2 linked regions of the Saccharomyces cerevisiae S288C genome follow. Changing the gene in region 1 together with any one later gene gives a genetic interaction. Each region holds a gene or a part of one and is shown in the gene's direction. Other genes may lie near its edges.

Evidence for each region.
Region 2: mutations in STM1 (region 1) and SPR3 together harm fitness more than expected from each alone (negative genetic interaction), as found in Saccharomyces cerevisiae (2 studies listed by BioGRID).

Annotation. Positions count from the first base shown.
Region 1 is NC_001144.5:438,677-441,904, forward strand, and holds STM1 (Stm1p), read left to right. Parts: upstream 1-1,790; coding exon 1,791-2,612; downstream 2,613-3,228. Other genes in the region: GID11 (Gid11p), read right to left, coding at 1-1,147; PCD1 (8-oxo-dGTP diphosphatase), read right to left, coding at 3,039-3,228. UniProt on the Saccharomyces cerevisiae protein: Ribosome preservation factor that protect a small pool of nontranslating, vacant ribosomes in cells under nutrient starvation conditions.
Region 2 is NC_001139.9:605,579-609,601, forward strand, and holds SPR3 (septin SPR3), read left to right. Parts: upstream 1-1,984; coding exon 1,985-3,523; downstream 3,524-4,023. Other genes in the region: PEF1 (Pef1p), read left to right, coding at 558-1,565. UniProt on the Saccharomyces cerevisiae protein: Septins are GTPases involved in cytokinesis that assemble into filaments and form a ring at the cleavage site. May act by recruiting MYO1 and HOF1, a protein involved in septation, to the site of cleavage.

The DNA of each region.
Region 1 (3,228 bases):
TAATTTCTGCCATGGGAGTAGCCATGTTTCTGATATCATAAATTGCGCAAGTACCATTTTGAAATACCGTCGCAAATTGCAAGTCGTTTTCGGAAAAAGAGTTATAAAACCCATGGTCTGAATTTGGAGCTTCATATATGTTTTCGATATATTCTGATTCATCAGGTAACGCAAACCGTGGTATCCGTCTAACACGATTGACAGAACTACCCCAGGAAGGATGATTATCGTAATGTAAGGAGAATTGGTTGGTTAATTCATTTTGATTGTAAACAGCAAATTTATTAGAATCGCCAGACACTACCATCGTTTGACCATCATGTGACAAAGAAGCGTTATTCAAAGGAAATTTTAAATCCGCATAACGCTTCACTAGTGTTACATCTCTATTACTTACATCGCATTGGTAAAGATGACCATCATTGTTGCATGCAAAAAGATCAAACTGCATACTGGCCCTGTCATAAAGTGTGACACAATTATTGATGAACTGGCCCAACGTAAAAGTCATCATTGTGTCCGTTTCTTGATTATAAAACTCCACGATGCCCTTCCAGATATTAGGATTTGAATAATGTGAATTTATAGGGAAACTAATATTTTTGGAAATATTAATCGGTTGGGAAGGTGGCGGCAACGAAATATTTGCATCTTGAGCTAAACGGTTCCAATTAGAAGGGAATCCCTTATCATCAGAACCGATTAGACCACCACAAACAGTCAACCCATTTAATTCCGTGAAACATCTCGGCTTAAAGTTGAACTCTACCAGTTTCTCGGAAGGAACATGTAAATTTTTGGAGATATACGAGCCCGTTGTCCTAGAACCTTTTGTAGACGTTTTTTCAGTAGAGTTTTTACCACTGTTACTCGGTTGAATAGAATTATGTCGCCTTACTGGAGACCTCAATACGGAAGAATCCGTATCTAGTACTCTTATCGAATGATCGTAAATATAATACAGTTTACTCTGGTTCATGGAGCCTGGTTTGATACAATCCCGCAACTGCCAATGGTTTATGGAGACCTTGGCATCGTAGAGTTCTAAAGCAGGCATCATATAGTTTTGGTAAACCTTATCAGAGCCAGTATTTAACCGTTCATCTTGCAGCGCCTCCTTAGATTGCCCCGTGCCATCAATGGTCATTCTTTAACACGTATACTTTTGTAACTTATTGCTGTTTTTCTACCACTTTATTCGATCTTACTTGTCGTTGCTTAATCAGCAAAAGTTTTGTACTAGAATAAAGTTGTAATAGGCTTTTAATCCAGAGTCTCCTCCTCCTCACTTTCTGATCATCACCCCTTATTGCCTCAGAAAAGAGATCATACTCCGCTTTAAAGCCGTTCAATGTCACGTGACACAAAGTTGTAGCCGTATAACATATGGCGCTACCATGTTGTTATTTAGACGGGTAACATCACCGTTTAGAAAGATAAAGGAAAGTGAAATTATTGGAATGGAAAGTGTTCCCAAAAGTTCGCACCAACGCAAAAAGAAATTTTTTTTTCAATTTTGATATCATCGTTGCGTAGAGGAAGCCCTAACTGAGTAGAGAAATTATATGGTATTTTCCTTGTAATATTTGATTTTGAGTCGATATCCCCTTTGTTCTTCTTCCTTCCTTCGCTTGTTTTAGTTGTATACTTGGTTTATTGTGGAAGATTTTTTTTTCTGCTTCGTAGTTTTAAATTAGAAGTTATTTCTTTGCAAATTTCTCTTCCCCCCACAGTATTCTTTTAGAGGTGAAGTAGAAATAAACCAAGAAAGCATACACATTTTATTCTCAATGTCCAACCCATTTGATTTGTTAGGTAACGACGTCGAAGACGCTGACGTTGTCGTTTTGCCACCAAAGGAAATCGTCAAGAGCAACACTTCCTCCAAGAAGGCTGACGTCCCACCTCCATCCGCTGACCCATCCAAGGCTAGAAAGAACAGACCAAGACCTTCTGGTAACGAGGGTGCTATCAGAGACAAGACCGCTGGTAGAAGAAACAACAGATCAAAGGATGTCACTGACTCTGCCACCACCAAGAAGTCCAACACCAGAAGGGCCACTGACCGCCACTCTAGAACTGGTAAGACTGACACCAAGAAGAAGGTTAACCAAGGTTGGGGTGATGACAAGAAGGAATTGAGTGCTGAAAAGGAAGCTCAAGCCGATGCTGCTGCTGAAATTGCTGAAGACGCTGCAGAAGCTGAAGACGCTGGTAAGCCAAAGACCGCTCAATTGTCTTTGCAAGACTACTTGAACCAACAAGCTAACAACCAGTTCAACAAGGTCCCAGAAGCTAAGAAGGTTGAATTAGACGCTGAAAGAATTGAAACTGCTGAAAAGGAAGCTTACGTTCCAGCAACCAAGGTCAAGAACGTCAAATCTAAGCAATTGAAGACCAAGGAGTACTTGGAATTTGATGCCACTTTTGTTGAATCTAACACTAGAAAGAACTTCGGTGACAGAAACAACAACAGCAGAAACAACTTCAACAACCGTCGTGGTGGTAGAGGCGCTAGAAAGGGTAACAACACTGCTAACGCTACTAACTCTGCTAACACCGTTCAAAAGAACCGTAACATTGACGTTTCTAACTTGCCATCTTTGGCTTAAGCCTTATATATGAATAATTCCAACTGAAAGAATCCAATAACAGTGTTCTACTTTCTGTTTCTATTACTATTATTATTTTAATTGGTTATTTACTATATAATTTGCAAGTGAAGATGATCATGCTGGCAAACCAAAGAATAAAATTGGGTTGACATCCAATCGAGAATATGACATATCATTTTGTTTTATTTAAGCAATAAAAAATAAATGACTTTTAATTTACTTTTCAATTTTCTTTTTTTTTTTTTCACTTCTGAGATGTGCAAGCGTGTAGTTTGTTTGTATTTGTATAACAATTTCATCATTAGTCATTCTTCATTAAAAACTTTTTGTTATCGATTAAGGACATCCAGTATGATTCTTTTTCTCTCATCTTGATTATCTCTTGAGAGTATTGTTAGGCAACGCATTATACCACAGTTTTTTTTACCAAAGCGAGCGGCACTCCAGCAGGTGCTTCATGTAGTATTCAGGTATCACATCGCTATATTTTAAGTTTCTGTCGCCGTTGATCATTCCTATCTCCCATTCACTTCTTCCGTTCGGTTGCATCTGATTACCATAGTCATGTAGTCCAACTATCAAATCTTCGTGCCCTAGTTCTCCTTTTAACTTT
Region 2 (4,023 bases), on another chromosome or scaffold:
CATTTATCGTTTGATGGTCATCGAATAGAAGATTCCTAAGCCCTTTTCTTTTTACTCAAGATTTTCTTTTTCAAGCGTGTTTTTTCTGGCAAGTACGAAAACGGCATCTTCGAACTTGGCGAATGAACAATCGGTTTGGTTCAACATTTCCAAGAACAACTACAACATACTATCAGTGTTACTTTCAAAAGTCTTTTAATACATTTGAAATGATATTCAGTGGAAGTGGAATGAAATAGGCCACAGTGAATAGGCCACGATACACACAGCATGTGTCATGCTCAATACCTTGCACCTGAATCTATATAATCTTGTAGTTCACCATTATATACATAACTCAGAAGAAGAAAACAATACGCATATTGGATAGTGCTCCATCGCTTTTAACAACTGATAATTTCAGTCATCTGGCTCAGGGTCTTGTCGATTTTTTTTATTTAGAAACTATCCGAATAAAAAAACCGCAGGAATACAAAGCGATGGGAATTGCTATTTCACTGAACATGTATGTATACCGTATACCGCATAAAATAACTATAAACCTACACCATTAAACGATGTGTGCAAAGAAGCTCAAATACGCTGCTGGCGATGACTTTGTACGCTATGCTACACCTAAAGAGGCCATGGAGGAAACTAGACGTGAATTCGAGAAAGAGAAACAACGACAGCAACAAATAAAGGTTACTCAAGCACAAACTCCCAACACTAGAGTCCACTCAGCTCCAATTCCCTTACAAACTCAATATAACAAAAACAGAGCAGAAAACGGTCACCACTCCTATGGTTCTCCCCAAAGTTATTCTCCAAGACATACGAAAACACCTGTGGATCCTAGATATAATGTTATCGCACAGAAACCAGCAGGCAGGCCTATACCTCCAGCGCCAACCCATTATAACAACTTGAACACTTCCGCTCAACGGATAGCTTCCTCTCCTCCTCCCCTAATTCACAATCAAGCAGTGCCTGCACAACTCTTGAAGAAAGTTGCACCTGCTTCGTTCGATAGCAGAGAAGATGTACGAGACATGCAAGTGGCCACACAGCTATTTCATAACCATGATGTAAAGGGCAAAAACCGACTGACAGCTGAGGAACTACAGAACTTACTACAAAACGACGACAACTCCCATTTTTGTATATCATCAGTAGATGCGCTGATAAATTTATTTGGTGCTTCCAGGTTTGGCACTGTCAACCAGGCAGAATTCATCGCCCTATACAAAAGAGTGAAAAGTTGGAGAAAAGTTTATGTGGACAATGATATCAACGGATCGCTCACCATTTCTGTAAGCGAATTTCATAACTCACTTCAAGAACTAGGATATCTAATACCTTTTGAAGTTAGCGAGAAAACATTTGACCAATATGCTGAGTTTATAAACAGAAATGGAACAGGAAAAGAACTAAAGTTTGATAAATTCGTTGAGGCGTTAGTTTGGCTAATGAGATTAACAAAATTATTCAGGAAATTCGATACTAATCAAGAAGGCATTGCAACCATACAGTACAAAGATTTTATCGATGCTACATTATATTTAGGTCGTTTCCTACCTCATTGATGAAAACCATTCGTTCTTTCTGGTCGTAATACAAATAGAAGAGGTAAACCAATCAATGGCCCGTTAGTTTGCCATTTGCTGCATCCTTCCCATGCAAAGTGTCTTCGTATTTAGTGATGTTTTGTTAGCGACACAAAAGAGACCTCGATGACAGACATTTTTTTTTCTTTACTTAATGTATTATAAGTGTGTCTGACCTCGACTATCATTATAATATTAATTTGAAGTTCTATTTTACATTTATATGAGTTATTCCATTACATAATAAGGATATCAAGAGCAGATTAGTGTCTTTTAGATTATACATCTTTTTCCCCCCTTTTTTGTTGTTGGTAGTGGAAAGAAAAGGATCAATTAACAGAAATAAATAAATAAATAATAAAAACCTAAAATTCCTTTTGCGTCATTGAATTTTTATTATGAAGTCAAAAGGGAGTCGGTTGTCAACAGACTGTCCTGTCGAATTTCCCAAGATAGTCTCTGGATTCGCTGAGGAAGTGAAAATACGTAGACAAAGTTCCCAAGGACAGTACGCCGTCGATTCACATCCTCCGAAAAGCCCTGAACTGAAACACAGAAGACAGAGGTCATCCTCTTTTGTTAACGGTAAATGCAGGAACAGGGACCTTCCATTGTTAGATAACAAGAAAGCACAAGAAATAAACACCAATTCACACGGCCAAGACATCGGTATCAAAAACTTACCACGTCAACGTGAGTTGTTGAATGCCAAAAATGGAATTGATTTTACGCTGATGGTGGCGGGTCAAAGTGGATTGGGTAAAACCACGTTTATCAATTCCTTATTTTCTACTTCTTTAATTGATGATGACATCAAAGAAAACAAACCTATTATTCGTTATAAAAGCATTGTAGAAGGAGATGGAACACACCTTAATTTCAACGTCATCGATACACCTGGTTTTGGTAACAATATGGATAATGCATTTACGTGGAGGACAATGGTTAACTATATTGATGAAGAAATAAGATCGTACATTTTCCAAGAAGAACAACCTGATAGGACAAAAATGGTTGATAATAGAGTCCATTGTTGTTTGTACTTTCTGAGACCTTCAAATAAGGGAATTGATACTTTAGACGTCGTAACAATGAAAAAATTAGCGAAGAGAGTGAATTTAATCCCGGTTATTGCTAAATCAGATTTGCTAACGAAAGAGGAATTGAAAAACTTCAAAACACAAGTTAGAGAAATAATAAGAGTACAAGATATCCCTGTATGTTTCTTTTTCGGCGATGAAGTTTTGAATGCAACACAAGATATTTTTCAAAAATATCCATTCAGTATAATTGCATCTAATGAGTACATTTTTAATGAAAAGGGCGAAAAAGTTAAAGGAAGACAATACAAATGGGGCGCTGTTGACATTGAAAATGAAAAGTACTGTGACTTCAAAATCTTGCAAAAGACGATTTTTGATTGGAATTTAATTGATCTTGTAGAAAGTACCGAGGATTATTATGAAAAATGCAGATCTGAAATGCTAAGAACTAGGCTATTAAAGGCCAGAGATTGCTTAACAACGAAAAGTGTTGACATAACGGAAGAACAAAGGAAATTTTTGGAGGAAGAAATGAACTTCGATGAAATCGAGGAAAACAAACTCAAAAATTACAAGTGCTATGAAATAATTAATAAAACGGTCATGGATAAGGTGGCTACAGAATGGGATCCTGAATTTATAACTAGACAATTAGAAGCTAAGAAAAAATTCAACGAGCTGTCCAACAGAGAAATTTCAAAATTTCGAGACTGGAAAAAGAGCCTATTCATGGAACAAGAGAATTTTAACCAAGAGATTGAACAATTGAATCACAAGTTGGAAAACTTACAACTGGAATGTCAGGACTTGGAATACAAGCTGTTAATCGGAAAAAGTTCCAACAGCCATTCCACAGATAGTGCTACTTTAGTAAACGTTCACATCAAAAGGTAGTATTAATTAAAAAAAAAAAAAAGCCAATAATTTCGCGCAAGCTTTGCTCTACATAATAAAAATACAATTAGGATAGAAATGAATATTTTTTTAGCGGCAGTTTTACCATAAGTAGCAAAACCCTAACAATACAATGTGAGACTAAAGTAAATCCGGGTAATACAAAATACAATTTTTTTTTATTCTTCACAGCGTTTTTTCGACGGAGGAGGGAAAAAAAAAAATTGTATTTAAGGCATCAAATGCGCGACATCATATACCTTTGTCCGCTGTTATCATACCTTGAACCTCTACATTTCAGCCTAGCGCGCGCAAAAAGAAAAAAAAATCATAAGCAAGAGTGGTACGGTAACCACAAGGCAATGCAAAGAAGGGTGCGATATCAAGTGATGTTACCTTCCTTTACTTTTTGCCTTTTTCTTGAATTGTCAATCCGCCCTTTTTTTCTTTTCAGTTTTTTCTCCTTTCATCCGTCTCGTTTATCATAATGATGATTTCAC